4 linked regions of the Anolis sagrei genome follow. The protein of the gene in region 1 interacts with the protein of each later gene in a biochemical or structural test. Links are inferred from orthologs where the notes say so. Each region holds a gene or a part of one and is shown in the gene's direction. Other genes may lie near its edges.

Region 1 (8,196 bases):
AAGACTTCATCACATTCCACTTCATCGCACTAGAGAAAAAAATTCCACTTAAAATCTGGTTTCTGCTCCCTGCAGAATTCTGGGGTTTGTAGTTTAGTGAGGCTGCTAAACTACAAACCCCAGAATTCTGCAGGATGCAGAAACCGAATTTAAAGTAGATTTTTTTTCTCAAGTGTGAAGAGGTTCTTTTGAAGCAGGGAAGTGTTTGGTAGAGTAGTGCTCAGTCTTACTTTTGAAATGAAATGGATGATTTCCTGGACCATTTTAAGACACTTTAGAAACACAAGGTTTGAATGAAAAGTAATGCCTCCACCCTCGTAACTCCTCAACAGATGGCAGTACTGGTATGCGGCAGGTACTGGCTTGTTCAGTAGACTCTCCTCTATAATTCCATTTTGGCGGGGAGCCTTAGTATTGAACAGTTGTGTTGTTAAAGTGCGAAGTATGGAACCCTGCACAGACGGTCGGTCAATGCGACTTAAGCAACGTGCAGTCATTGGATCCTTGACAACAGAAGGTGTCACTCCAAAGGAGATTCATCAGAGAATGCAAACTGTTTCTGGTGATTGTGTTGATGTGAGTACTGTGCATCATTGGGCAAGTAAGTTTAAAGATGTTGAGGTGGGAGCATCTGATTTGCGTGACAAAGAGTTGGATGTCCTGTGACAGCAACCACTGAGTTTCACAAACAAAAGGGTGACAGATTGATTCAGGACGATCGTCATATCACTCAGAGAGAAATTTCAAGCACAATCGGCATTTCACAAGAACGTGTGGGTCACATTATTGCTTTGCTTGGTATCGGAAGATCTGTGCATGATTGGTACCCAGGATGGGAGAACCGTGGGATGCTAGTTGTGGAAACAGCGTGTCGACTTCTTCTGTGACGGCTTCAGAAAACTTGTTCATCTTTGGCAGAAATGTATCCAATTGTCTGGAAATTATGTAGAAAACTGAATAGTGGTAGTTGAAGAGCACATTATAAGGATTCTTTCTGTGTTTCGTTTATTAAAATATTCCCATCCAAACCCAAGTAATGAAGGTTTTTTGTTCTGATTTGTGTGACAAACAAAGAGTTGGACGTCCCCTGACAGCAACCACCCAGTTTCACAAGCAAAAGGTTGACAGATTGATTCAGGATGATCGTTGTATCACTCAGAGAGAAATTTCAAGCATAATCAGCATTTCACAAGAACGTGTGGGTCACATTATTGCTTTGCTTGGCTATCGGAAGATCTATGCACGATGGGTACCCAGGATGAGAGAACTGTGAGATGCTGGTTGCAGAAACAAGAGTGTTGACTTCTTCCGTGACGGCTTCAGAAAACTTCTTCATTGTTGGCAGAACTGTATCCAATTGTCTGGTGATTATATGGGAAAGTGAATAGTGGTAGTTAAAGAGCACATTCTAAGGATTATTTCTGTGTTTCATTTATTAAAATATTCCCACCCAAACCCAAGTAATGGAGGTTTTTTGTTCTGACTTGCATGACAAACAAAAAGTTGGACGTACTGTGACAGCAACCACCAAGTTTCACAAGCAAAAGGTTGACAGATTGGTTCAGGACAATCATCGTATCACTCAGAGAGAAATTTCAAGCATAATCGGCATTTCACAAGAACGTGTGGGTCACATTATTGCTTTCCTTGGCTATCGGAAGATCTATGCACAATGGGTACCCAGGATGAGAGAACTGTGAGACGCTGGTTGCGGAAACAGAGTGTCGGCTTCTTCTGTGACGGCTTCAGAAAACTTGTTTATTGTTGGCAGAAATGTATCCAATTATCTGGTGATTGTGTAGAAAAGTGAAAACTGGTAGTTAAAAAGCATTATAAGGATTATTTCTGTGTTTCATTTATTAAAATATTCCCATCCAAACCCAAGTAATGAAGGTTTTTCGTTCTGACTTGCGTGACAAACAAAGAGTTGGACATCCTGTGACAGCAACCACCAAGTTTCACAAGCAAAAGGTTGACAGATTGATTCAGGACAATTGTCGTATCACTCGGAGAGAAATTTCAAGCACAATCGGCATTTCACAAGAACGTGTGGGCCACATTATTGCGGAAGATCTGTGCACGATGGATACCCAGGATGAAAGAACTGTGAGATGCTGGTTGCGGAAACAGAGTGTCGACTTCTTCCGTGACGGCTTCAGAAAACTTGTTCATCGTTGGCAGAAATGTATCCAATTGTCTTGTGATTATGTGGAAAAGTGAATAGTGGTAGTTAAAGAGCACATTCTAAGGATTATTTCTGCGTTTGATTTATTAAAATATTTCCATCCAAACCCAAGTAATGAAGGTGGAGGCATTACTTTTCAGTCAACCCTCATACCTTGACATTCTGTTACCACTAAGAAAAAAAAAGGCATAGCAATGAGCAATACAAACAACTGATTGCAACAGGTTAACATTTCTTAATCCAACAGCCTTAATTTCCAAACAGGTTTCGAGGTTCCTTGAAACACAAAAGAATCATAATACTGTATATTTGAATGTAACAAGAAGCATCCACATTGTCAAATTAGTGCAGTTTGACATTGCTTTAACTGTCATGGCTTAATGTTATGGCATTCTGGGAATTGTAGTTTGGTATAGCACCAGCTCCCTATGGCGGAGAAGGCTAAAGTTTGTAAAACTACAACTCCTGGGAATCCATAGCACTATTTATTTATTATTCGTGTCATCCGCAACCAGAACATTGTATTACATTTCTAACAGAACAAAACAAACAAACAGATAAAAAAACAACACAAAGTTTGCAAGCTTGGTAGCTGATTAAATGTCCTTTGAGCAATATCTGGCCCCTTGGAGTGCCTCTGGTGTTGCCGCAAGAAGGTCCTCCATTGTGCATGTGGCAGGGCTCAGGTTGCATTGCAGCAGGTGGTCTGTAGTTTGCTCCTCTCCACACTCGCATGTCGTGGACTCCACTTTGTGGCCCCATTTCTTGAGGTTGGCTCTGCATCTCGTGGTGTCAGAGCGCAGTCTGTTCAGCGCCTTCCAAGTCGCCCAGTCCTCTGTGGGCCCAGGGCGGAGTCTCTCATTTGGTATCAGCCATTGGTTGACGTGCTGGGTTTGAGCCTGCCACTTTTGGACTCTCACTTGCTGGGGTGTTCCAGCGAGTGTCTCTGTAGATCTAAGAAAACTATTTCTAGATTTAAGTCGTTGACGTGCTGGCTGATACCCAAACAGGGGGTGAGCTGGAGATGTCTCTGCCTTGGTCCTTTCACTATTGGCTGCTACTTCACGGAGGATGTCAGGTGGTGCCTGTGTCATTTCTCCAGTGGTGTAGGGCGCAGGCACTCCGTGATAATGCGGCATGTCTCATGAAGAGCCACATCCACTGTTTTAGCGTGGTGAGATGTGTTCCACACTAGACATGCATACTCAGCAGCAGAGTAGCCAAGCGCAAGGGCAGATGCCTTCACTGTGTCTGGTTGTGATCCCCAGGTTGTGCCAGTCAGCTTTCGTATGATATTGTTTCTAGCACCCACTTTTTGTTTGATGTTCAGGCAGTGCTTCTTGTAGGTCAGGGAACGGTCCATAGCACTGAGTCATGGCAGCTAAAGTGGTGTCAAACTGAATGAATTCCACGCTGCAGATGCCTCCCCTTTTTACCTCTGTATTGGAAAAAGAAGGGAAAGGGGGTTACCCAAACCTAAGAGTGACTGATCCTCGTGCCTGGATTGCTAAATTATGTTTTAATGTTGCATCTGTGATTCATACTGGATTGCTTCCACCTCCTGAAAAAAATGCACTTCCTGCCTCTGGAATTACATTTTCTGGGGGTGGAAAGCAAATTAGAATGAATTCCTTTCTCCTTTGTAGTATTTAAGACCGTGTTTCTTAACATGGGGGTTGGGACCCCTGAGGTGGGTCGTGAGGGGGTGTCAAAAACATCACCAAAGACCAGCAGAAAACACAGTATTTTCTGTTGATGATGAGGGTTCTGTGTCGGAAGTTTGGCTCAATTCTATCCTTGATGGAGTTCAGAAATCTCTTTGATTGTAGGTGAACTATAAATCCCAGGAATTATAACTCCCAAATGTCAAGTCTATTTTCCCCAAACTCCATCAGTGTCCACATTTGGGCATATTGAGTATTTGTGCCAAGTTTGGTCCAGATCCATCATTGGTTGAGTCCACAGTGCTCTCTGGATGTAGGCGAACTACAACTCCCAAAACTCAAGGTCAATGCCACCAAACCCTTCTAGTATTTTCTCTTGATCATGGGAGTTCTGTGTGCCAAATTTGATTCAATTCCATCATTGGTGGAGTTCAGAATGCTCTTTGATTGTAGGTGAACTATAAATCCCACAAACTACAACTCCCAAATGTCAAGGTCTATTTTTCCCAAACCCCACTGGTGTTTCCATTTGGGCATATTGAGAATTCATGCTAAGTTTGGTCCAGATTTATCATTGTTTGAGTCCACAGTGCTCTCTGGATGTAGGCGAACTACAACTCCAAAACTCAAGGTCAATGCTCACCAGTATTTTATGTTGCTTGTGGGAGTTCTGTGTGCCAAGTTGGGTTCAATTCCATCATTGGTGGAGTTCAGAATGCTCTTTGATTGTAGGTGAACTATAAATCCCAGCAACTACAACTCCCACAGGACAATATCAGTACCCTCCCCCAATCCCACCAGTATTCAGATTTGGGTGTATTGGGTCTTTGTGCCAAATTTGGTCCAGTGTATGAAAATACATCCTGCATATCAGAGGTTTACATTACTATTCATAACAGTGGCAAAATGGAACTAATGTTATGGTTGGTGGTCACCATTACACGAGGAAGCATATTGAGGAGTCGTGGCATTAGGAAGGTTGAGAACCACTGATATAGATGGTTGACAATGTAAACATATTGGGGAGAATGGAGCTTGGGAAGAATAAGAACTTTTGGCTTCCTGACCCTTCATTCTGCTTTTCTCTCTTTGTCCCCAGTGTTTGGATGCCTCTGCCCTGGAGAGCAAAGAGCTGAGCAGATCCAAGCGAGAAGAAGTCCATCTCCCGTTTGCCCATCGAGGCCCAAGGTCCAAGTCCTCATGGAGTCCGGGAGCAGCGTTTCCAACCTGTAGCCACAGATCTGGGATGTTGACGTGGAAGTGCCTCCTCCTTTGGGCTGTGCTGGTCACAGCCACACTGACCACTGCAAGGCCAGCGCAAACCCTGCCAGAGCAAGGTAGGAACAGAAGTATTGGGGTGCCGTTTGGTTTCCAAGCCGTTGATGAATTGGAGTGATTTCAGGCTGCGTGTACGGTCACAAGAACACATTTTTTGCAGCTCTCAAGGGATGCTCAAGTGCAAATATGGCTAGGTCTACATTGCCATATAATCCAGTTTCTGAATCTGTTTTGAACTGGAGATTCCACCTGAACATGAGGAAGAACTTCCTGACTGTGAGAGCTGTTCAGCAGTGGAACTCTCTGCCCCGGAGTGTGGTGGGGGCTCCTTCTTTGGAAGCTTTGAAACAGAGGCTGGATGGCCATCTGTCAGGGGTGATTTGAATGCAATATTCCTGCTTCTTGGCAGAATGGGGGTGGACTGGATGGCCCATGAGGTCTCTTCCAACTTTTGGATTCTATGTTCAGCAGTGGAACTCTCTGCCCCGGAGGGAGTGTGGTGGAGGCTCCTTCTTTGGAAGCTTTTAAACAGAGGCTGGATGGCCATCTGTCGGGTGATTTGAATGCAATATTCCTGCTTCTTGGCAGAATGGGGTTGGACTGGATGGCCCATGAGGTCTCTTCCAACTTTTGGATTCTATGTTCAGCAGTGGAACTCTCTGCCCCGGAGGGAGTGTGGTGGAGGCTCCTTCTTTGGAAGCTTTTAAACAGAGGCTGGATGGCCATCTGTCGGGTGATTTGAATGCAATATTCCTGCTTCTTGGCAGAATGGGGGTGGACTGGATGGCCCATGAGGTCTCTTCCAACTTTTGGATTCTATGTTCAGCAGTGGAACTCTCTGCCCCGGAGGGAGTGTGGTGGAGGCTCCTTCTTTGGAGGCTTTTAAGCAGAGGCTGGGTGGCCATCTGTCAGGGGTGGTTTGAATGCAATATTCCTGCTTCTTGGCAGAACGGGGGTGGACTGGATAATGGCCCAGGAAGTCTCTCCCAACCCCCAGGATTCTATATGAGTCTACATTGCAGTATAATCCAGGCCCCATCCACACATACAATCCAGTTTATCTAATTTGAACTGGATTATGTGACAGTGTAGACCAGGCATGGGCAAACTTGGGTCCTCCAGGTGTTTTGGACTTCAACTCCCACAATTCCTAACAGCCGCTATCTGCTTTGCACTGAATTATGTGGAGCTGGATCCACATTGCCATATAATCCAGATTATCAAAGCAGATAATGCACATTGCTTGGTTTGAGCTGAATTATATGGGGCTGGATCTACACTGCTGTATAATCCAGATTATCAAAGCAGATAATGCACATTATTTGGTTTGAACTGAATTATATGGGGCTGGATCTACAATGGCATATAATCCAGATTATCAAAGCAGATAATGCACATTATTTGGTTTGAACTGAATTATATGGGGCTGGATCTACACTGCCATATAATCCAGATTATCAAGTCAGATGATCCACATTATCTGCTTTGAACTGAATTATATGGGGCTGGATCTACACTGCCGTATAATCCAGATTATTCAAGCAGATAATCCACATTATCTGCTTTGAACTGAATTATATGGAGCTGGGTTTACACTGCCATATAATCCAGATTATCAAAGCAGATAATGCACATTATTTGGTTTGAACTGAATTATATGGGGCTGGATCTATACTGCCATATAATCCAGATTATCAAAGCAGATAATTCACATTATTTGGTTTGAACTGAATTATATGGGGCTGGATCTACACTGCCATATAATCCAGATTATTCAAGCAGATAATCCACATTATCTGCTTTGAACTGAATTATATGGAGCTGGGTTTACACTGCCATATAATCCAGATTATCAAAGCAGATAATGCACATTGCTTGGTTTGAACTGCATTATATGGGGCTGGATCTACACTGGCATATAATCCAGATTATCAAAGCAGATAATGCACATTATTTGGTTTGAACTGAATTATATGGGGATGGATCTACACTGTGATATAATCCAGTTCAAAGCAGACAGTCTACATTCTATATGGCAGTGTAGCTCCAGCCCCATAAAATCCACTTCTAAGTAGCTAATCCCAATTCAGGAACTGGATTATGTGGCCGTGCAGATTGGACCTGTGTCTCTTTGGTGCTCTGTTTATATACAACTGTTGGCCCTTTCTACACTGTCATATAAAACCCAGATTATCTTCTTGAACTGGATTATATGGCAGTGTAGACTAATATAATCCAGTTCAAAACAGATAATGTGGATGGTTTACTTTGGATTACACGGCAGCATAGAAGGGGCCTGTGATAGAGATAAATGCAGTCTTTGGAATGATAGATATCAGTTTAGAGGTTTTGTGATGAAAGGTGTTGCTTCTTACTGCCTGGGGACATCCTTTGTTGAGAGGTGATTAGCTGTCCCTGATTGTTTCTTGTCTGGAGCTCCCCTGTCTTTATTTACTGTTATAATTTTAGAGTTTTTTAATACTGGTAGCCAGATTGTGTTCATTTTCATGATTTCCTCCTTTCTATTGAAATTGTCCACCTGCTTCTTGTGGATTTCAATGGCTTCTCTGTGTCGTCTGACATGGTGGTTGTGAGAGTGGTCCAGCATTTCTGTGTTCTCCAATAATATGCTGTGTCCAGGCTGGTTCATCAGGTGCTCTGCTATGGCTGACTTCTCTGGTTGGAGTAGTCTGCAGTGCCTTTCGTGTTCCTGGATTCGTATTTGGACGCAGCTGCTGCGTTTGGGGGTCCCTATGTAGCCTTGTCCACAACTGCATGGGATACAATATTTTATTTATTTATTTATTTCGGGTATTTCTACCCCGCCCTTCTCAACCCCCGAAGGGGGACTCAGGGCGGCTTCCAACTGGCATACATCTGGAATATTGTGTCCAATCCTGGGCACCACAATTCAAGAGAGATATTGACTCTAAGCTGGAATGTGTCCAGAGGAGGGCGACTCAAATGATCAGGGGTCTGGAGAACAAGCCCTATGAGGAGCGGCTTAAGGAACTGGGCATGTTTAGCCTGAAGAAGAGAAGGCGGAGAGGAGATATGATAGCCATGTAT
Region 2 (7,724 bases), on another chromosome or scaffold:
CACCTAGATCTCACCCAACAGCTTGCTGCCTCTTCCTACCATCTGCTGCCTGAGACAAGTGTCTCACTCTGCCTAATGATAGGGTCACCCATGGATGTCTGATTCAAAATGCAGTTGCCATGGACTACTTTTAGCTGAACCAAGACCATCCTTTTAAATCATGCAGGATCCCCAAGAGTATTGAACTAAATCCCTCAATTATACAACGAGGTCACAAGGATATGGTCTCAAAAGGGTGAATTTGAAACAGTGTTTAGTCTCAGATCCTCTGGAATCCACATGCCTTCAGATCTGGAAATGTCAGAGGCCTTCAGACTGAGAAGAGATGACTCACTAGAAAGGGTAATAATGCTTGGTATGGTAGAAGGGCTCTTCATGACTTGGAAGTCTATCATTCATAGGGTCACCAAGAATAAGAGGCAGTTCACATCAACAACAAACTCTGGCCCCCAAATGTGAACAAGAAGAACCACTGGAATTTCTGCAATCATTTCCAAATGCAAGGCTTAACCCAGTGTTTCTCAACCTCGGGGTGGGACACCTGGGGGGTTCGTGAAAGAGTGTCAGAAAACACAGCATTTTCTGTTGGTCATGGGGGTTCTGTGTGGGAAGTTTGGCCCAATTCTGTAGTTGGCAGGGTTCAGAATACTCTGATTGTAAGTGAACTATAAATCCCAACAACTACAAATCCCAAATTTCAAGGTCTATTTCCCTCAAACTCCACCAGTGTTCACATTTGGGCATATTGAGTATTTGTGCCAAGTTTGGTCCAGATCCATCATTGTTTGAGTCCATAGTGCTCTCTGGATGTAGGTGAACTACAACTCCAAAACTCAAGGTCAATGCCCACCAAACCCTTTCAGTATTTTCTGTTGCTCATGGGAGTTCTGTGTGCCAAGTTTGGTTCAATTCCATCATTGGTGGATTTCAAAATGCTCTTTGATAGTAGGTGAACTGTAAATCCTAGCAACTACAATTCCCAAATGACAAAAATTAACCCCCAACACCACCAGTATTCAAATCTGGGCGTATCAGGTATTTGTGCCAAGTTTGGTTTAGTGAATGAAAATACATCCTACATATTAGATATTTACATTAGAATTCATAACAATAGCAAAATTACAGTTATGAAGTAGCAACAAAAATAATTTTCTGGTTGAGGGTCACCACAACATGAGGAACTGTATTAAGGGGTTGCGGCATTAGGAAGGTTGAGAACACTGGCTTAACCAGAGGATAGTCAAAAAGCTTCTCATGGAGGTTATAGTTTAGAGATCTAGTGCCATTGGCCTGAGAGCCCAGAACTTGGAAATATGTATTTATTGGACTGCAATCTCAAGAGCAGGCATGGACAACCTTGGAACCTCCAGGTGTTTTGGACTTCCACCATTCCTAACAGGCCCTTTCTTCAACTTAAGTGGCTGAGAGGGAAAAGGAAGAGGCTGTTAGGAATGATGGAAGTTAAACTCCAAAACATTTGGATGGAGGGCCCATGTTTGTCCAGGCCTGATCTAAAGGTTCCCAATCATGGAGGAAGAGTAGAGGATTCTGGTGGTAGATAGGTTCTCATGGAGAAAGGTAAAGTTCTCAGGCTCTGTCCATATTCATTCACTCTGGCAGTTGACCTGTACCAGGTATGCTTTTCAGATCTTGCTTGACCATTTATTTATTTATTTATCATGTCAGGAGTGAACCAAACAATTGTATTGCATTTTTAAAAAAACCACACACACAAAGTTTGCAAACTTGGCATTCTATTAAATGTCCTTTGACTAGTAGCTGGCCACGGAGTGCCTCTGATGTTGCTATAAGAGGTCCTCCATTGTGCATGTGGCAGGGCTCAGGTTGCATTGTAGTAGGTGGTCAGTGGTTTGCTCTTCTCCACACTCGCATGTTGTGGACTCCACTTTGTGGCCCCATTTCTTAAGGTTGGCTCTGCATCTCATGGTGCCAGAGCACAGTCTGTTCAGCGGCTTCCAAGTCGCCCAGTCTTTTATGTGCCCAGGAGGGAGTCTTTCATTTGGTATCAGCCATTGATTGAGGTTCTAGGTTTAGGCCTGTCACTTTGGACTCTCGCTTGCTGAGGTGTTCCAGAGAGTATCTCTGCAGAACTTAGAAAACTATTTCTTGATTTAGGGCGCTGGTGTGCTGGCTGATACTCGAACAGGGGTTGGGCCAGAGATAATAATGCACATAATGCACATATCCAATTAGGCCAGTGGTTCCCTTGGTACCTTTTTTTGACCAGGTACCACTTTGACCAGGGACCACTTTGACTCGGGACCACTCTGACCAGGGACCACTCTGACCAGGGACCACTTTGACCAGGGACCAGTCTGACCAGGGACCACTTTGGCCAGAGACCAGTCTGACCAGGGACCACTTTGGCCAGGGACCACTTTGACTCAGGACCACTTTGACCAGTGATCACTCTCCAACATTCGTACCAAAAGGGTTACGAATCAGTTTTTGGTAAACTTTAGATTCGGTGTGGTTATTTGGGGTGCTGATTCAGAAAATTGCATTGGATAGACAACATCAGCTCTACAGAACATATACCATCCAGTAGTTGCCATCTACTTGTCTACAGAAGACCATATTGAATAATCTGGCGCAGTAGACCTTATTTTAGGTCTTGTGGCCCACCAGTGGGTCTTGGGAACACTGAGTTAGGCAAAGTTCATTTTTTCCTTTCTTTGCCAATCTCTTCCTTTCCCAAATTTAGGGATGGCCGAATGGGGAAGATTACCATTAATTTCTGATGATATGCAGGAGAGAAAATGGCTCACTGGTTTCACATCTGGACATGTCACTTGGTGGGTCAGAACAATGTTGTTGGTTGTATGTTTTCAAGTAGTTTTCTAGCCTTGTGATGTGCCTTGGAGTCATTTCCAACTCATGGCGATCCAAAAGCGAATCTGTCACGGGGCTTTCTTGACATGGTTTATTTGGATCTCGTTTGCTTTGGTGTGCCCTGGGGCAGAAATGTTTGACATGCCCAGGGTCACCCGGTGTGGGTTTCTGTGGCTTGGCGGGGATCCGAACCCCGCTCTTCAGAGTCAGAGACAAACAAACAAAAAACCCTTTCCACTAAGCCTGTCGGGGTTGACATCTTGCGCCTTCCCTTCTTGCCTCTTCTTTCTCCATTTCGCTAAATCCCGGGAGCATTGTGTCGGAGAAGGTCCCCCTCTCATCCCGGTTTGACGCGTGGGTCGATCGCGTTGGGCGCGCCTCCCTGTGGAACACGTGCGCCGGACCTTTCTCGGGGCGTGAATCCTGCCCACCTGCGCTTTCCTCCCCATGAACCCGCCTGGGAGTGTATGTGGGCGCTGTTCAGGGTCTGGGGCGGCAGGGCAGGGACTCGGAAGTGGGGAGGGCTTGATCTCCGAGGAAGCCCGCCTCAGATCGGGCCCTCCGCCCCAACTCTCAGGTCCAGGGGAGCAGTAGGTCTAAATCGCCCCTTGGTTTAACCCTGCCTTGCACCGGGTCCCTTTGTGAGAGCTCCCTCTGTCAGCTCCAGCTTCCTATGAAGGGAAATGAGAGAAGCCTCCCACAAGGATGGTAAAACATCAAACATCCCGAAGTCCCTGGGCAACATCCTTGCAGACAGCCAATTCTCTCGCACCAGAGTCATAGAATTGGAAGAGACCTCATGGGCCACCCAGTCCAACCCCCCGCCAAGAAGCAGGAAAATTGCATTCAAAGCACCCCGGACAGATGGCCATCCAACCTCCAAAGAAGGAGCCTCCACCACACTCCGGGGCAGAGAGTTCCACTGCTGAACGGCTCTCACAGTCAGGAAGTTCTTTCTAATGTTCAGGTGGAATATCCTTTCTTGTAGTTTGAAGCCATTGCTCTGCGTCCTAGTCTCCAGGGCAGCAGAAAATAAGCTTGCTCCCTCCTTCCAATGACTTCCCCTCACATATTTATACAAGTCTCTTCTCGGTCTTCTCTTCTTCAGGCTAAACATGCCCAGCTCTTTAAGCCGCTCCTCATGGGGCTTGTTCTCCAGACCCTTGATCATTTTAGTTGCTCTCTTCTGGACACATTCCAGCTTATCAATATCTCTCTTCAATTGTGGTGCCCAGAATTGGACACTGTGTGATTCCAGTTGTGGTCTAACCAGGGCAGAATCGGGGGGTAGCATGACTTCCCTGGATCTAGACACTGATGCAGGCCAAAATCCCGTTGGCTTTTTTTTGCCACCGCATCACACTGTTGGCTCCTGTTTCACTTGTTGTCCACGAGGACCCCAATGCCTGCTCTCGAGCCAGGCATTGCCCCCCATTCTGCATCTTTGCAGTTCCACAAGTCGCTCCGTTTCCAAGTTCCTGGCGCTTCCCCCCTTCCTTTCTTCCTCTTTCCCCAAGCCGCGGCTGAGCCTGAGCCGGGAGTGCCGCAGAGCAGTAAAAAGAGCGAGCGGGCCACTCGATGTCACGGAGGAGGCGGAGGGAAGGAGAGAAGCAGGGAGGGAGGGAGGGAGCGGCGGCGGCTCTCTGGTGCTGCGCAGGTGAAGGTTGCGCGCTAGGACCTGGGGGAAGCCTCTGGGCCTCCCCTCCCTCCTTTTTTCTCTCCCCCCCCCTCTCCTTCTCCCGCCCGCAAGCTGGACTACCTTAAACCCAACCCAATGCCTCTTCCTGCGCCACTTTCCCCTGCGAGCTTGGATGGAAAAGACACAGCCGAGGGGGAGAAGAAAGAGAGCGAGGGAGAGCGGGCGAGAGAGCGAGAAGGCGCCGCACCAGCCGCGGCCCCAGCAGAGGCAGCCTTGCGGAGAGCTTGCCTACACCTGTTCCGCCGCACGGGCGCCCAGCGGGGAAGACCGGCAGCTCTCTGGAGGAGGAAGGAGGAGGAGGAGGAGGGCTGCCTTGCTTCGCGTGGAACAGGAGGAGGAGGAGGAGGAGGAGGAGGAGGATCCACGCCAGGCTGAAGCGCCGAGCCGCCTCCTCAGGATCCTGGATCATAGAGCCGGACGTCAAAAGTTCTTTCTTGATAAATAAGCAGTGAAGCAACCAAACGGCCCCTTTTCTGGATTTTTGGGTCCTTTGGGAGAGGGAGAGACCCCCCCCCCTCGCCTCCTCCTCCTCCTCCTCTTCCTCCTCTCCTTCTGGGCAGAGAGTCCAAACAGCGCATGCTTGGCTGGGGCTCGGACCCGTGAAGCCCCGAGGGCGGCCGGTTGGCCTCTGCGCCTCTTCCCAGGCTTCTTTCCCTCCCTTGCACCTCCTCCCGGCCCCTGATCCATGCGCCCCCCTTCTTCTCCACCTCCTCCTCGGCCTCAGGGCCCCGAAGTTGCGATGCGGAGCCCCACGGAGAAACTCGGGACCCCCCTGCTCCTCCTCATGACGGCCGGATGGGCGGAAGAGCTGACCGCTTGCTAGAAGGGAGCCCTGCCAGGGGAACACACGAGCCGGATCTCTCTCCGCTGGCTCTGGGCGCGAGGAGGATGAGCCCACGCGCGTCCCCCGCGGCGGAGGGCGCTTCCTAAGGGGTTGACCTTGAACCCCAGACCCAGCCAGGAAAGGAGAGCAGGAGGCCTCGGAGGACCCCGCCTTGATCCTCATTGATGGATTAAAGGAAGAAGTCACCTTTCGGCGTGGAAGTGGGAGGGGAGAGTGGCGGCGCAGCAACCTGCTTTGCCTCCTTTCCTCGCGTGAAAGGGAAACGGGAGAGAACCGCGAGTCCTGGCTCTTGGGCACAGACGTGACGGTTTTGCTGCAAGCGAGGGACCTCCCCCCTCCCTCCCTCCTTCCTTCCTTCCCTCTTCCTTCCTTCCTCCCTCCTTCCTCCTCCCCCTCCTCATGGCTCCCTTAGGAGAAGTTGGCAACTATTTCGGGGTCCCGGATGCGGCAGCGGCAGCGGCGGCGGGGGCGCCCTTCGGGAACATGCCGGTCCTGCCGGCGGACAGCCCGGTCCTGCTGAGCGACCACTTGGGCCAGGCCGAGGGGCTGCCTCGTGGGCCGGCCGTGACGGACCTGGACCACTTAAAGGGCATCCTGAGGCGCAGGCAGCTCTACTGCAGGACTGGCTTCCATTTAGAGATTTTCCCCAATGGGACCATCCAAGGCACCAGGCAAGACCACAGCCGATTTGGTAGGTATGGGCCAGGAGGGGGAGGGCGGGGGGAAAAGGGGGGCCAGGAGAGAAGTTGGTGGCTCTTCTGGTAGGGAGGCAAGGGCATGGAGGAGGAGGAGGAGGAGGGGGGGGGAGTCCATGTCCACGGTTATAGTTGTGGAAGAGCTTTGAAAGGGAGGGAAGGGAGCCTCCAGGAGTTGCAGATGGGATGCGCCAGGGACATCATTTTTTTGAAGCAAAGGGGAAAAATCCATAGCTGTAAGTGCACATGAAAAAAAAGGTTGAACACTGTGAAAACCACCCACTACATGGCTACCAGTCTCCTCCCAGTAGACCCTAATCAAGGAAAGGCTTTATGAGAACGACCACTCCTCTTGGCGTCCCCCCAGCGACAGCAAGGGTATCCTTCTGGGCAGCTCAACCAGGAAATCCCAACTGGATGCCCCCCCTCCCCCCCCGAATGGGCAACTTGGAAGTCCCTGAACAAGTGGAGTAGGCAGATCAAAGGACAACCTGGCAAAACCCAAAAGAATCCCCCACCTTGTGTCACTGTGGAGCAGAACAGACAACTCCGCATCTGTGTACTGGTCCACTATGCCCTGCCTCATGTACAGAGGCAGAATTGTTGGAGGCTGCAGACAATGCCGTTGCTGTTGCCCGTTTTTGGTCAAAGATATTTAGCCACCTGCACTCCTTCTATTTTTATCGGTTTTATACTAATTCTGATAATAAATAAATGCACAGCAGGCGGCCAGGCTTGGGTGTAGGGACCAGGCATGGGCAAACTTAGTCCCTTCCAGGTGCTTTGGTCTTATTTCAACTTACTTCAACTCCCACCATTCCTAACAGCCGGTTGAAGTCCAAAACATCTGGAGGGCCGAAGATTGCCCATGCTTGTTATGCACAATCAGTAGTAAACTATAACAATAATAATGCTATTGCAATAATAATAATAATAATAATAATTTTAGGATGGAACCCTCCGCTCTTATTATATATTTCCATTTTGAAGCTGCAGTTTTATGAGCACCTTTAGACTCCTAAAGAAATGCTCTTGACCTCCCTGGGGTTGGATGCATCTCCACTGTAGAGTGAGTGCAGATTGACACCGCCTCAAACTGGCAGGGCTCAGTGCTGTGGAATCATGTGAGTTGTAGTTTGGTGAGGCACCCCTTGGCAGACTTAAACGGCTGAGGGGGAAAAGGAAAGGGCCTGAGGCTGTTAGGAATGCTGGGAGTTGGAATCCAAAACACCCGGAAGGCCCAAATCTGCCCATGCCTGTTCTACGGTGTGGATGCCCTGTTAGTCAGGCATAGATAGATCTCTTGGCCTAATATGCTGGTCTCATCTAGGGCAGACCCACTGTTAGGTGTTGACTTCCTTCTTGGCGATGGGTTGAATCTGCAGAGGGCGATGATACTGGTCACCTCCAGTTCCCATTTGATTCCAGTGGGTCTGCTGCAGAGAAGAGTCAGGCTGGACCCAACTCGGTGAAACTTCCTCCTCAGCCGACGGGTTGCGTGGGGGACGGGACGGGGGGACGGGGGGGGGTCGGGACGGGGGACGTCCCTCTGCTTTTCCTTGGAGGGTGGGGCGGGCTGTGAAGAAGGCCGAGACAGAGAGATGCCCCTCCTCCCCTCCTCCCCGCTCCCCTC
Region 3 (7,514 bases), on another chromosome or scaffold:
GAGCGCCAGATCATAATTTGAAAAAAAGCATGAATGAATTCCTATGCACGCTGCATATATCTTATTTGTAGTGCAAAAAACACTTTAAAACAATACAATAATTAAAATGAAGAACAGTTTTAACAAATATAAACTTATTGGTATTTTAATGGGAAGTGTGGGCCTGCTTTTGGCTGATGAGATAGGATTGTTGTTGTTGTGTGCATTCTGGTCATTTCAGACTTAGGTTCACCCTGAACAAGGGCCAGGTAAATGACCTTGGACGGCCGGCAGTATCTGGTCCTCGGGCCTTAGTTTGAGGACCCCTGCACTACATCATGCTGGCTCTCTACACAAGCTCTACTCTGTATTGTCAAAGGCTTTCATAACCAGAATCACTGAGTTGTTGTGAGTTTTCTGGACTGTATGGCCATGCCCCAGAAGCATTCTCGCCTGCATCTGTGGTAGGCATCCTCAGAGGTTGTGAGGTCTGTTGGAAACTAGGAAAATTTCATTTATATATCTGTGGAAAGTCTGGGGTGCGAGAAAGAATTCCACAGATATATAAGCTCAATTTTCCTAGTTTCCAATAGACCTCACAACCTCTGAGGATGCCTGCCACAGACATGGGTGCAATGTCAGGAGATAATGCTTCTGGAACATGGCCATACAGCCCAGAAAACTCACAACAATCATGTAATACAATGTAATACTACTACTAATAATAATACAATATTATAATTATATATTTTATATTACATGTAATATTACTAATAATATTACAATATTATAGTATAGTACAATATTGTAATATATAATAATGATGTTGTACTACGCTAATAATATAATATATTGTATGTACAAGGGTTGAATGAAAAATAATGCCTCCACCTTTGTAACTCCTCAACAGATGGCAGTACTGGTATGCAGCAGGTACTGGCTTGTTCAGTAGACTCTCCTCTACAGTTCCATTTTGGTGGGAAGCCTTAGCATTGAACGGTTGTGTTGTTAAAGTGCGAAGTATAGAACCCTGCATAGACGATCGGTCAACGCGACTTAAGCAATATACAGTCATTGAATACTTGACAGCAGAAGGTGTCACCCCAAAGGAGATTCATCAGAGAATGCAAGCTGTTTATGGTGATTATGTTGATGTGAGTACTGTGCGTTGTTGGGCGAGTAAGTTTAAAGATGTTGAGGTGACACCTTCTGCTGTCAAGAATTCAATGACTGCACATTGCTTAAGTCACATTGACCGACTCTCTGTGCAGGGTTCCATACTTCACACTTTAATAACACAACTGTTCAATACTAAGGCTTCCTGCCCAAATGGAACTGTAGAGGAGAGTCTACTGAACAAGTACCTGCTGCATACCAGTACTGCCATCTGTTGAGGAGTTACGAAGGTGGAGGCATTACTTTTTATTCAATCCTCTTATATATAATTTATATGCTGCTCTGAGTCCCCTTCGAAGTGAGAAGGATGGCATAAAATGTTGTAAATAAATAAATAAACAACTCAAGCTCTAGTCTGTTTCAATATGCTAGCTATTTATTGAGTGGGTTTGTTTCTTGCTTTGAATTTATCTCTCAGGAAAAGTATCCTGAAGATGCCAGCCACAGATGCAGGCAAAACGTCAGGAGAAATCGCTGCTAGGACACAGCCATACAGCCTGGAAACCACACAACACTTCAAAGTATCCTATAGATCAGGCATGGGCAAACTTGGACCCTGCAGTGTTTTGGACTTCAACTCCCACCATTCCTAACAGCCTCAGGCCCTTTCCTTTTCCGCTTAAGCGGTTGAGGGGGGAAAGGAAAGGGCCTGAGGCTGTTAGGAATGGTGGGAGTTGAAATCCAAAACACCCGGAGAGCCCAAGTTTGCCATACCTGCTATAGATCTATGTTGTTGCTGTTGTGGCTGTGCTCAAGCATCCCTTTTGACGCACATTTTCCTTACCAAGTGTTCTTCTCCACGCGCCACGTTCTCGCAGGCAAACGATACCATTTCCCACGCACTTTCAGCTCCCTTTTCCCAGCTCTTTTGGATCCCGACCCGAAAAGGAAGAGGCAGAGCGTTTGCTTGACTTAGCACACCGACGCGCTCTTTGCGCACACGCGAGACTAGGCTTTTGCGCAACTTTCCCGCGGAGTCTCTTCATTTGCGGCAGGTGTTTCGGCGCCCACTTCCCGGCGCGACTGTGGCAGGGCGAGCTCACACCCCACTCGTGGCTTTCCCCTGCCTGTTCGTGTCCCAACAAAGCCTCCCTATTTTACCCACAGAGCCTTCAAAGTCGTCCAACACATCATCCTGGGTGGAACAGTGTTTTGGAGAGAGGAGGGCGAAAAGGTGAAAGTGTACACGTGGGGAATTATAGAATCCTAGAGTTGGAAGAGACCTCGTGGGCCATCCAGTCCAACCCCCTGTCAATAAGCAGGAAAATCGCATTCAAAGCACCCCCAACAGATGGCCAAAGAAGCCTCCAAAGAAGGGGCAGAGAGTTCCACTGCTACCCAAGCTGCAGGAAAAGAGATTCCACCTAAAAATTAGGGAGGAGTTCCTGTTCGGCAGTGGAATATGCTATCTCCTTGTCATAGAATCTAATAGTCATGGAAACATAGAGTTGGAAGGGACCCCATTGGGTTCAATCAAAGTAAAATCAAAGTACCCCCGACAGATGGCCATCAAGCCTCTGTTTCAAAGCCTCCAAAGAAGGAGCCTCCACCACATATGCTGCCTCCTTGGTATAGAATCTAATAATCAGAATCATAAAGTTGGAAGAGACCTTATGGGGCATCTAGTCCTGCATAGCGGAGTTCAATCGAAGTACAATCAAAGTACTCCTGACAGATGGACATCCAGCCTGTTTCAAACCAGAAGTTGGATGTCCATCTGTCTGAAGCGCTTTGATGTTGCAGGGGACTGGATGGCCCTTGGGGGTCTCTAGGATTGCAGGTGTGAGAGAATTGGCCGTCGGCAAGGACGTTGCTCAGGGGACGCCCGGATGTTTGATGTTTTACCATCCTTGTGGGAGGCTTCTCTCATGTCCCCGCATGGGGAGCTGGAGCTGACACAGGGAGCTCCTGTCGGTCAGCAGTCCTGCCGGCACAGAGGTTTAACCCAGGCATGGGCAAACTTCGGCCCTCCAGGGGTTTCGGACTTAAACTCCCACCATTCCTAACAGCCTACCGGGGTTTATATCTCTGTGGCGCAGTGAGTTAAACCCCTGAGCTGTCTAGCTTTGTTAGCCAAAAGGTCGCCGGTTCGAATCCAGGGAGCGGGGGCAAGCACCTGATGTTAGCCCCAGCTTCTGTTAACCCAGCAGTTCGAAAACATGCAAAAGTGAGTATATCAACAGGTACCGCTCCTGCGGGAAGGTAACGGCGCTCCATGCAGTCATACCGGCCACATGACCTTAGAGGTGTCTATGGACAACGCCGGCTCTTCCGCTTAGAAATGGAGATGAGCTCCACACCTCAGAGTCGGACACGACTGGACCTAATGTCAGGGGAAAACCTTTACCTTTCTCTATGGAAAGATGGCTGTCCAAGGTGCTTCATGTTCCAGAAACATTCTCTCCTGACGTTTCGTCTGCTTCTTTGGCAGACACCCTCAGAAATTGTGAGGTCTGTTGGAAACTAGAAAAATTGGGTTTCTATCTCTATGGAAAGAAGACTGTCCAAGGTGCCACATGTTCCAGAAGCATTCTCTCCTGACCTTTTGCCTGCTTCTATGGCAGGCACCCTCAGAGGTTGTGAGGTCTGTTGGAAACTAGGAAAATTGGGTTTATCTCTCTGTGGAAAGAAGAATGTCCAAGGTGCCACATGTTCCAGAAGCATTCTCTCCTGACGTTTCGCCTGTTTCTATGGCAGGCACCCTCAGAGGCTGTGAGGTCCGTTGGAAACTAGGAAAATTGGGTTTATATCTCTGTGGGAAGAAGACTGTCCAAGGTGCCACACGTTCTAGAAGCATTCTCTCCTGACGTTTCGCCTCCATCTATGGCAGGCACCCTCAGAGATTGTGAAGTCTGTTGGAAACTAGGAAAATTGGGTTTATCTCTCTGTGGAAAGAAGACTGTCCAAGGTGCCATTTGGGGGGAGGGGGGGCAGGAGAGGCACTGGAGGTGGGATGTGTGTGTGTGTGTGTGTGTGTGTGTGTGGATAGGGTGGGATGGGTTGGGGGAGCGAGTGGGCGAAGGCAGGCCATCCCCGGACAGATGAGAAGGAAGGGGCTGGCACATTGGCGAGCGCGCACAAGAGGAGGGACCAGGGCCGGGCCGGGGCGCACTCCTCCGAGAGAAAGAGAGAGAAGCAGAGGCAGAGAGAGCAGGAGAGAGAGGGAGGAACAGAGAAAGAGAGAGAGAGAGAGCCAAGCAAAGGGTAAGGAAGAGGCAGAGAGAGAAGCGCGCAGTGCGCCCCAGCCTCGCCAAGACCAAGGGAACCTCTCCAAAGGCGTTGCTTCCTCCTCCTCTCCTCGCCCTCTCCTCCCTCTCTCTCATCATCCTCTTCCTTGAGCTGTCAGTCCAAAGGCAAAGGCTCCGGGCTCCTCTCCTCCGCAGCCAGCGCCCTGATCTTCTTCTCCTGCCTCCTTCCCTCCTTTCCAAGCATCCTCGGGCATGGACTGGCCACCAAGTGGGACCTCTTGGCGCTGAGGAATCCTCGCCACCGCCCGAGGAAGAGGGCTCCAAGGAGAGAGCCTGGCGTGGAGGGAACGTGGAAAGGTCGCCGGCCCCGCAAAGGACCCCCGCCACTCACCCTTCCCACACGGGGTCCCTTCTCCTCCTTCTTCTCCAGCTTCGGGCTCCTCAGGATGAATCTCTTCTCCTCCATCTTCAGCTATTTGTAAGTCGGCTTCTTTCCTCCCGGCTTTCCTTTCTTTTCCAAGCTTCCTTGATTATTATTTTTCCCCCCATTTATATTTCTTCTCCATTTCAAAAAGTTCCCAACAAAACCAATCATCTCACCATCGACTTTTGTGTTTTTTTCCCTCCCCCCTTTTTCCCCTCCCCATTCCCTATTATTCTAGGGTACTGCACTTGTTTGCTTTCTGCTTGCAGGCACAGGTAAGGAACGGCTTTATTACTTTTTGAAGCGCCTTCTTTGGCTTTGTTTTTGTTTGTTTGTTTGTTTGTTTGTTTCGAGCGCGCCGCCAACGGTGACGCTTGAGCGCCTCTTCTTTTAAAGGGATGGCCTTCAAAACAGTCGGAGAAAGCTAGAAGGCACCGGTTTGGTGCAGAACCAAAGGCGCAGCAGAGAAGGGAAGGCAAATTTTTGTGGGGCAACCCAGATAAGAACTTGGCCAGTCCAAAAATACCCCGAGATTGCAGGTTGTTAAAGTTCTGACTCTTGGCCCTTACACACAGCCCGATATCCCAGAATATCAAGGCAGAAAATCGCACATTATCAGAGTGTAGACAAAATTAACCCAGTTCAAAGCAGATATTGTGGGATTTTCTGCCTTGATATTCTGGGATATAGGGCTATTTGGAAGGGCCCTGAGTGTGGACTCAAATAAACTAGTTCAAATCAAATATCGTGGGATTTTCTGCCTTGATATTCTGGGATATAGGGCTGTGTAGAAGAGCCCTGAGTGTGGACTCAGATAACCCAGTTCAAAGCAGATATTGTGGGATTTTCTGCCTTGATATTCTGGGATATAGGGCTGTGTGGAAGGGTCATCAGCCATCCTGTGCCATCCTAAGAATAGAAGCTTATCCCAGCTTCATCTGACTGTAGGTTTCTGCTGGGTTTTGAAGTTTACTTCTAATACTTTTGCTATATTTATTACTGAGGGTTACTTTGAGCCTAACAGCTCAGGGCCCTTCCACACAGCCCCATAACCCAGAACATCAAGGCAGAATAACCCACAATATCTGCTTTGAACTGGGTTATCATAGGGCCCTTCCATACAGCCCAGTATCGCTGAATATCAAGGTAGAAATTCACACATTATCCATGTGTGGACTCAGATAACCCAGCTCAAAGCAGATATTGTGGGATTTTCTGCCTTGAGATTCTGGGATATAGGGCTGTGTGGAAGGACCTCCGTGAGTCGCCCTAGGGCTGAGAACGGCGGTCTACAAGTGCAGTAAATAAATAAATAAATAAATAAGGACCCCTGAGTCCACACTGCCATATATCCCAGCTCAAAGCACATAATGTGGGATTTTATTCAAGCTGTGTGGAAGGGGTCTAAGAGCCCTTCCACACAGCGATATAACCCAGAATATCTAGGCAGATAACCCATGTTAACTGCTTTGAATTGGAATATACTGCAGTGTGGACTCAGATTATCCATTTCAAAGCAGATATTGTAGGACTTTCTGTCTTGATATTCTGGGACAGAGAGCTGTGTGGAAGGGCCCTAAGATTCCCCAACACAGATAGATAGATGTGGAACATACAAGATAAAAAATAAATGTTGATTCATTTAATTTTGAATTAATTAATTAATTAATTTTAAATATTGAATTAAAATTTAATATGTATTAATTTTAATTCAATGGATTTTAAGCTTAATGTGGTATGCGTTGCAAGGCTTTGGATAATTGCCATATGTAAGTCCGCCTTGAGCTCCCCTTGGGGTAGAGAAAAGCAATGTATAAATAGGAGAAATAATAAATCATAATAATAATAATAAAAACTTTGCCCTTAAAATGGTAAACACTTGTCTTCAGTTCCTAAAAGTTTAAGAAATCAATATAATAGGCAGACATTTTCATTTTTAAAAAAACAACAGCATCAAACACCTTGGTTTTATTCATTTGTGTTTTCTAGAAATTAGAAGTGATCCTATGGAATCTCTATTCCTGCTGCTGCAATATTGATTGCAAATGCAGAGAGCAGAAGGCAAATGCTTACAAAGGGGGAAAACAACCCTCACCAAAGAGAGAGAGAGAGAGAAAGAGAGAGAGAACAAGAACAGGTGTAAGATTTTGAGTTAAATCTGCAATCACCTTCTAATTCTATAAGCCTGAGTATGTAACAAAGATGGCTCTGAATGAAAGGGACTTGTGTAAAAACTGTGTTGGAATAATTTGTGGCTATCGGGTGGAAGTCAAAGGGGCTGTTTGGTTATCCACATGGTCCCCTCATCAGAGCTAGCAAGGGAATCCAGAGATATTATCAAAAGCGTCTATAGGAAACGTGTTTGGCACACACTTTTCCACACACACACAAAAGGAAAAGAGAGGTGAATTGTCAAGGGAAGCCCTCTATAAACTCCAGATTCAAGGAGGGGGTGATTTTCCCATCAGTATGGAAGAACCTTAGCATTTGATGTAGAGGCTTGAAGGTGATCCAGCCAGTGCTTTGAGGGGGGGGGGGGGGGGGGGAGATGACTTCATGCAATGCCACCCCATGTGGTTGAAAGGAGCAAATCTCCACCACATTTGCTCAGAATACATCTTTATAAATGTCAGGGGCCAACTAAAGCCCTCCAGACTTGAAAGGGAGACTGGAGATGTAGAAGGGATGGAAGAATTCTCCTAAGACTGGGCTGCCAGAGGAGAGAAACAGATCTGGGTCATGGCAAA
Region 4 (7,119 bases), on another chromosome or scaffold:
CCCAGAAGGTGTTATCGGGGGACTCCTGTTCCGCACCACAACCTTTGACTTGTGGGGTGCCACAGGGTTCCATACTGTCCCCCATGCTGTTTAATATCTACATGAAGCCGCTGGGTGAGATCATCCGGAGTTTCGGGGTGCGGTGTCATCTGTACGCAGATGATGTCCAACTCTGTCACTCCTTCCCACCTGCTACTAAGGAGGCCGCTGTAACGGTCTGGATGAGGGCGAACAAACTGAAACTAAATCCAGACAAGACAGAGGTACTCCTGGTCAGTCGCAAGGCCGAACGGGGTATAGGGTTACAGCCTGTGCTGGACGGGGTCGCACTCCCCTTGAAGGCGCAGGTTCGCAGCTTGGGTGTGACTCTGGACTCATCGTTGAGCCTGGACCCCCAGGTTTCAGCGGTGACCAGGGGAGCATTTGCACAGCTCAGGCTCGTGCGCCAGCTGCGCCCGTATCTCGGGAAGTCTGACTTGGCCACGGTGGTACACGCTCTTGTCACATCCCGCCTGGACTACTGCAACGCTCTCTATGTGGGGCTGCCCTTGAAGACGGCCCGGAAGCTTCAGCTGGTTCAGCGCGCGGCAGCCATGTTACTAACTGGAGCGGGTGGCAGGGAGCACACAACGCCCTTGTTGTCCCAGCTCCACTGGCTGCCGATTTGCTACCGGACCCAATTTAAGGTGCTGGTTTTGGCCTACAAAGCCCTAAACGGTTCCGGCCCAAAATACCTTTCCGACCGCATCTTGGCCTACGAGCCCACGAGGACCTTGAGATCGTCTGGGGAGGCCCTTCTCTCGATCCCGCCTGCCTCACAGGCACGGCTGGCGGGGACGAGGGAGAGGGCCTTCTCGGTGGTGGCCCCCCGGCTGTGGAACACTCTCCCTGCACACATCAGACAGGCGCCTTCCCTCATGTCCTTTCGAAAAAGCCTTAAGACATGGCTGTTCGAGAGGGCATTTAATTAAGTGCTAAACAATACGGTAATGAGAACTGGAATGGAACAAGGAATATGAGACTGGCTATGATTCCACTAAGAGATGAAGCGGATTTTTAGTGTAGTCTGTAATTGTTGTATAGTTTATATGTTGTTGAAACTGGCTTTTTTGTAATTGTCTTTTATGTGTACTGTACACCGCCATGAGTCGCCCTTATGGGCTGAGAATGGCGGTTAATAAGTGCATCAAATAAATAAACAAATAAAATAAAGAAGTGGACTCCCTGAAGACACAGGTCTGCAGCTTGGGTGTGATCCTGGACTCATCGCTGAGCTTGGGACCTCAAGTTTTGGCGGTGACCAGGGGAGCATTTGCACAGTTAAAACTTGTGCGTTAGCTGCGCCCGTACCTTGAGAAGTCTGACTTGGCCACAGTGGTCCACGCTCTTGTTACATCCCAAATAGATTACTGCAACAAACTCTATGTGGGGTTGCCTTTGAAGACTGTTCGGAAGCTTCAAATGATCCAATGGGCGCAGGGCCATAGCCAGAAAGATTTTTTTAGGGAGGGTTGAAACTTTTTTTAGCAAATCATGAAGAGTAGTTCGATAACACAACAACATTTTTAATACAGTCCAAAGATCCTTATTGCTTCGTAAAAGGTAGAAGATACAAGGTATGCAAGGTTAGTAAGGGCAAAAATAGCCAAAACTGATTAAGCCACAAGATGTGGGTGGAATAAACAGCAGATAAAACCGATAAAACAAGGATTAAAACTTATAACCAGCATTTAAGATAGTAATGACCTAGGTAAAAGACTACAAAGGGTAACAGGCATGTTTCATCATGCCATAACATAAAATACTTTAAATTATATGGTTTCAATTATATTTTATATAGAGTTCATTAAATCAAATTTCTATTTTAGTTAAAGTTTCAAGTCTTAAAATAACTGAAAATGATTGCTAATTGATAATTTATAGTTACAAAAGAATACCACAATGTTTGTTAGAAACACTTGAAAACTGTGTCAATACACTTTGACAGAAATCAGGCTCTATTGATAAACTTCGGTGGACACTCAAGAGTACAAGTCCAGTCAGTCTTTCTTGCCTCCTTGTGCTTCTTGTGTATGTTTTCAAACGTTTAAGGGTTGAAAACGACCTTTCATTTGTAGCTGTTGACACTGGCAATATTGCAGAAATCTGAAAAAGTTTCTTCACATTCGGAAAAAACTGTCCGTCACAGACAAGATATGCTTCCAGTGCATTTGATGGTTTTTCTGCAGGTGCAATCTCATAGACTTAGCATGGAGATTTGGTTAGCCAGTTAAAATTCATGAGTAAACCAGGTTTTTTTTTCTAACCTGAAAAGTTTCGGGGGGGGGGGGATTGAACTCCTAACCCCCCCCCCCCCCCGGCTACAGGTGTGAATGGGCGGCTGCCAGGTTACAAACAGGAGTGGCGCACAACTCCTATATTGCGTCAACTACACTGGCTGCCAATTTGTTACTGAGCACAATTCAAAGTGCTGGCTTTAGCCTAAAAAGCCGTAAATGATTTGGGCCCAGCTTACCTGCTCAAACGTATCTCCTCCTATGAACCATCTAAGAGTGTAAGATCGCTTGGGGAGGCCCTGCTCTCGATCCCGCTTGCCTCACAAGTGTGGTTGGCAGAGACAAAGGACTGGGCCGTCTCAGTGTTGGCCCCCCGGCTATGGAACTCCCTCCCCAGGGATATTAGATCGGCCCCCTCCTTCCTGACTTTCTGAAAAAAAAGTAAAGACCTGGCTCTTTGAGTAAGCTTTTGAGATTGCAGCGGAATAGATAACACAGAACTATGAATAATGAACATAAAATAGCCAGACGATGTTACTGGATAATGTTTTTAACAGGGTAACACTGAATATTATATGCTTTAATGGTTTTTATATATGTTTTATATTGTAATGTTATTTTTAATGGCACTTTTATGAATTTCTGGCATCAAATTGTAACCCGCCTTGAGTTGCCATATGGATGAGAAAGGCGGGCTATAAATATCGTAAATAAATAAATAATAAATAAGTTTTCCATCCTCTGCTGTGGCCTCAGGTTGCATTAGGGCAGTGTTTCTCAATCTGTGGATCCCCAGGTGTTTTGGCCTACAACTCCCAGAAATCCCAGCCAGTTTACAAGCTGTTAGGACTTCTGGGAGTTGAAGGCCAAAACATCTGGGGGTAATAGTATGACAACTGGGTCCGGAAGCTCTGAGACGTACACTCTTTCCGCTTCGCTCCTTTGGGAGCGCTGTTTGCGCAACGCAGAACGGAAGACAGATATTATAGAAGGAATGTACAAATTCTTTAATGGTAAAACCACTAAGCCTTACCCTAACCCCTAAGCCTTACTCTAACCCTAAGCCTCACCCTACCCCAAACCCTAAACCTTACCCTAAACTTTATCCTAACCCTCCTCGCCTTTCTATCCTTCCACCAAACTGAAGTATATTCCTACCCTCAGTGTGCCGCTCTCCCCTTCCCTTATTCACAATGTGCATAACGCTCGGCGCTTCAGGCCCCAGCTCTCATACTATCACCCATCTGGGGACCTACAGGTTGAGAACCACTGTATTAGGGCGAGAACCAGTGGTTCCCAACTTTGGCCCTTTAGGTACTCTGAACTTCAGAAGCTTCAACCAGCTTGACTGACAGCCAGGAAGGTTGGGAGCTGAAGTCCGAAACAGACGCCGCTCAAAGTTGGGGCGCTCCCGCGAGACGCCGCCCTCTCCCCGGGAGTCTGGTCCGGGCAGGTGTTCCCTTGGGTTCCGCCGCAGTCCGCTCACGTGCGGCCACGTGAGGGGAAGTTCTGGCCCCGCCCCCGCAGGCAGCCCCTCCGCGCGCAGCCCCCTTCCCCCTCCCGCGGCGCCCGCGCGACCTCCCGTCCCGCCTGTCACTCGCGCCTCCTCCAGCCAATGGCGCCGCCTCCTGTCACCTTTTCCCCACCCTCCTCCTGGGAGAGGAGGGAGGGAGGGAGGGAGGCGGGGGCTTGGAGGGAGTTGAATGATTGAACTTTCTTTTTGGCGCGCCCCTCTTCTCCCTCACTCGCTCGCTCGCTCGCTCGCCTCTTCCCCTTCGAGCGGAGTTTCTGTCGTGCTGCTCGGCGAGGTGGCAGCGTCTCCTTCGCCTCCTGCTTCCTGAGGCGCCTCGGGCCGGCGTTTGCTGCTGCTGCTTCCTCCTCCTCCTCCTCTTCCTCTTCTTCTTGTCTCTCAGCGAGCCATGGGGCGGCGGCGGCGGGATCCCGGCGTGGCCTGGCCCCTTCTCCTCCTGGCCATGGCCTCCGGCTGGGGCTCCGGGGCGGGCGAAATGGCTCTTTCCCGGCGGCAGGACGACTCTTTCTCGGCGGCCGGCAGCGTCTCCGGCGCCCGGTGCGCCTCCCGGTGCCTCAGCCTGCAGATCACGCGCATCTCCGCCTTCTTCAAGCATTTCCAGGTGAGGCGGGAGCTCCCCGGAGGCCCAGCAAGTCCCCGCGAGTTCCCAGGGCCGCCTCTCCTCTCCAGGGCTCGCCGCACCTGCCGGAGTCCTTCGGGAGGAAAGAGGCGCCAAGGCCGGGCTTTGCGGGAAGCCGCTTGGGTGGCTGGGCTTCGACTGGGTGGCCATCCGTCGGGGGCGCTTTGATTGTGTCCCTGCAGGGCAGGACGGGGTTGGAGAAGGTGCCACTTGCGATCTCTTCCAATTCCAAAATCTGTCATCCCTGGGAGTTGAAATCCCCCAGACTTGGGACAGAAGTCCCCCAGAGGACTCGCTTGGGCCTTTGCCTTCAGCTCCTGCCGCTTGGCTTCGTCCTCCTGGGCAGGTCTTTCAAGGGACTTCCTCGCATTTCGGGTGGGGACACATCAGGGTTAGGCTTTTCCTCAACACGGGGAAGGGGCGGCGAGAGTGCAGCTCTGCCATCGAGGCCATGAGCTGGGTCTGTTTACCTTGGAGGAAAGAAGACTGAGAGGAGGAGACAGGAGAGCCATGCTTCAATATTTGGAAAGATATCACATTGAGGAGGGAGCAAGCTTGTTTTCTGCTGCTCTGGAGGCTAGCACAGGAGCAAGGGGTTCAAACCCAACATCTTCATTAATGACTTAGATAGAGGAAGGCTTAGAAGGCAGGATCATCAAGTTTGCAGACGACACCAAATTGGGAGGGATAGCCAATACCCCAGAAGACAGGAGCAGGATTCAAAACGATCTTAACCGATTAGAGAGACGATTGGTCAAAACTAACCAAATGAAGTTCAACAGTGACAAATGCAAGACACTCCACTTAGGCAGAAAAAAATGAAATGCAAAGATACAGAATGGGGGATGCCTGGCTTGAGAGCATTATGTGAGAAAAAGATCTTGGGGTCCTCGTGGACAACAAGTTAAACATGAGCCAACAATGTCATGCAGCAGCTTTAAAAGCCAATGGGATTTTGGCCTACATCAATAGGAGTCTAGATCCAGGGAAGTCATGCTACCCCTCTATTCTGCCTTGGTCAGACCACATCTGGAACATTGTGTCCAATTCTGGGCACCACAGTTGAAGAAAGATGCCAACAAGCTGTAATGTGTCCAGAGGAGGGCAACAAAAATGATCAAAGGACAAGCCCTATGAGGAACGACTTAAAGAGCTGGGCATGTTTAGTCTGCAGAAGAGAAGGCTGAGAGGAGACATGATGGCCATTTATAAATATGAGAGGGGAAGTCATAGGGAGGAGGGAGCAGGCTTGTTTTCTGCTTCCCTGGAGACTAGGATGCAGAACAATGGCTTCAAACTACAGGAAAGAAGATTCCACCTGAACATAAGGAAGAACTTCCTAACTGTGAGAGCTGTTCATCAGTGGAACTCTCTGTCCCAGAGTGTGGTGGAGGCTCCTTTGGAGGCTTTTAAACAAAGGCTGGATGGCCATCTGTTGGGGGTGCTTCGAATGTGATTTTCCTGCTTTTTGGTAGGGGGTTGCACTGGATGGCCCATGAGGTCTCTTCCAACTCTTTGATTCTATGAAGCTTTAGGGAAAGAGATTGAACATCCTTTCAGCTCCCAATATTTTTGGAAGCTTGTGTGACTCTGCATTAGCAAGAACTTCTTGAGGGGAGGAGCTGTTCGGTAGGGGAATGTGAGGAGTTTCCTTCTCTGGAGGTTTTGAAGCAGAGGCTGGATGGCCATCTGTCCAGAGGGCTTTGATGGTGTTTTCTGCATGGCAGAATGGGACTGGACTGGAAGGCCCATGTGGTCTCTTCAATCTGTAGCAGAGGTTTGAGCATTGGACAATTTTGAGCAGGGTTCAAATCCCCACCAGGCCATGGAAACCCACTGGGGGATCTTGAGCAAGTCACACTCTCTCATCCTCAGGCAAAGCCTCCCTCCCAAGCCTGCTCTGAACACATCTTCCCAAGCAAACCTCAGGATCTGTTCCCCCTCAGCATACTGGAGCAAAGCGTGACATCTGGAGATGTGTATTCATAAGGATGAAGGGAGAGTGTTTTGGCTACGAAGGTGATAGTTATTCACACAGATTAAATCACAGTTTTAAAAACTTGAAAACCTGAAGCAGTGGATCAAAGTTAAGCATCTTGGGGTTGCAATCCTGAGAGTAACTTGTACCAAACTCAGTGGGATTCCCTTCTGAGTAAGCAGTGACAGGATTGTACTGTTAAAAAAAATGATGTACCTGTTAACATTCATCTGAATGCAGAGCCTACCACTTATGCCTCTACATGGTCAGAATAGGAAAAAAAATAGGACATTCCAAAGATATATAAACCTCACTTGTGGGTGAAACATCAGGAGAGAATGCTTCTGGAACATGGCAATACAGCCCAAAAAGAACTCACAGCCACCTAGGAAAAGAGCCTCCCCCCCCAACAACAACAAAACTATTGATTTCATCTTTTCACCCTCTTCTTGCAGATTCATGTAAATGTTTTCCATCTTGTTAATACTCTGTATGGAACTGATGGATATTCTTCATTGCTTGTTTTATATATATACACACACACACACACATATATACGTATATGTATACGTATACGTATAGAGAGAGAAAGAGAGAGAGAATTGTCCATTCTTGGATCTGGGGCTGATAGATCTACCTTAGATTACTCATTAAGACACTTTCTTATGGTAATAATTATGACCAGACTGATAAAAAAGACAGTTGGCCCTTCTTT

What was found.
Region 2: the proteins of FGFR1 (region 1) and FGF9 interact in a biophysical measurement, tested with the Homo sapiens proteins (2 studies listed by BioGRID and IntAct, with this or other methods). The link is inferred for Anolis sagrei from reciprocal best matches to the Homo sapiens genes FGFR1 and FGF9.
Region 3: the proteins of FGFR1 (region 1) and FGF8 interact in a biophysical measurement, tested with the Homo sapiens proteins (2 studies listed by BioGRID and IntAct, with this or other methods). The link is inferred for Anolis sagrei from reciprocal best matches to the Homo sapiens genes FGFR1 and FGF8.
Region 4: the proteins of FGFR1 (region 1) and ANOS1 form a complex in vitro, tested with the Homo sapiens proteins (3 studies listed by BioGRID and IntAct, with this or other methods). The link is inferred for Anolis sagrei from reciprocal best matches to the Homo sapiens genes FGFR1 and ANOS1.

Annotation. Positions count from the first base shown.
Region 1 is NC_090027.1:2,236,253-2,244,448, reverse strand, and holds the start of FGFR1 (fibroblast growth factor receptor 1), read left to right. Parts: upstream 1-4,999; 5' UTR 5,000-5,095; coding exon 5,096-5,186; intron 5,187-8,196. UniProt on the Homo sapiens protein: Tyrosine-protein kinase that acts as a cell-surface receptor for fibroblast growth factors and plays an essential role in the regulation of embryonic development, cell proliferation, differentiation and migration.
Region 2 is NC_090023.1:28,766,444-28,774,167, forward strand, and holds the start of FGF9 (fibroblast growth factor 9), read left to right. Parts: upstream 1-4,550; 5' UTR 4,551-5,795; coding exon 5,796-6,087; intron 6,088-7,724.
Region 3 is NC_090023.1:216,673,823-216,681,336, reverse strand, and holds the start of FGF8 (fibroblast growth factor 8), read left to right. Parts: upstream 1-4,337; 5' UTR 4,338-4,789; coding exon 4,790-4,821; intron 4,822-5,005; coding exon 5,006-5,042; intron 5,043-7,514. UniProt on the Homo sapiens protein: Plays an important role in the regulation of embryonic development, cell proliferation, cell differentiation and cell migration. Required for normal brain, eye, ear and limb development during embryogenesis.
Region 4 is NC_090023.1:94,145,672-94,152,790, forward strand, and holds the start of ANOS1 (anosmin-1), read left to right. Parts: upstream 1-3,953; 5' UTR 3,954-4,195; coding exon 4,196-4,408; intron 4,409-7,119. UniProt on the Homo sapiens protein: Has a dual branch-promoting and guidance activity, which may play an important role in the patterning of mitral and tufted cell collaterals to the olfactory cortex. Chemoattractant for fetal olfactory epithelial cells.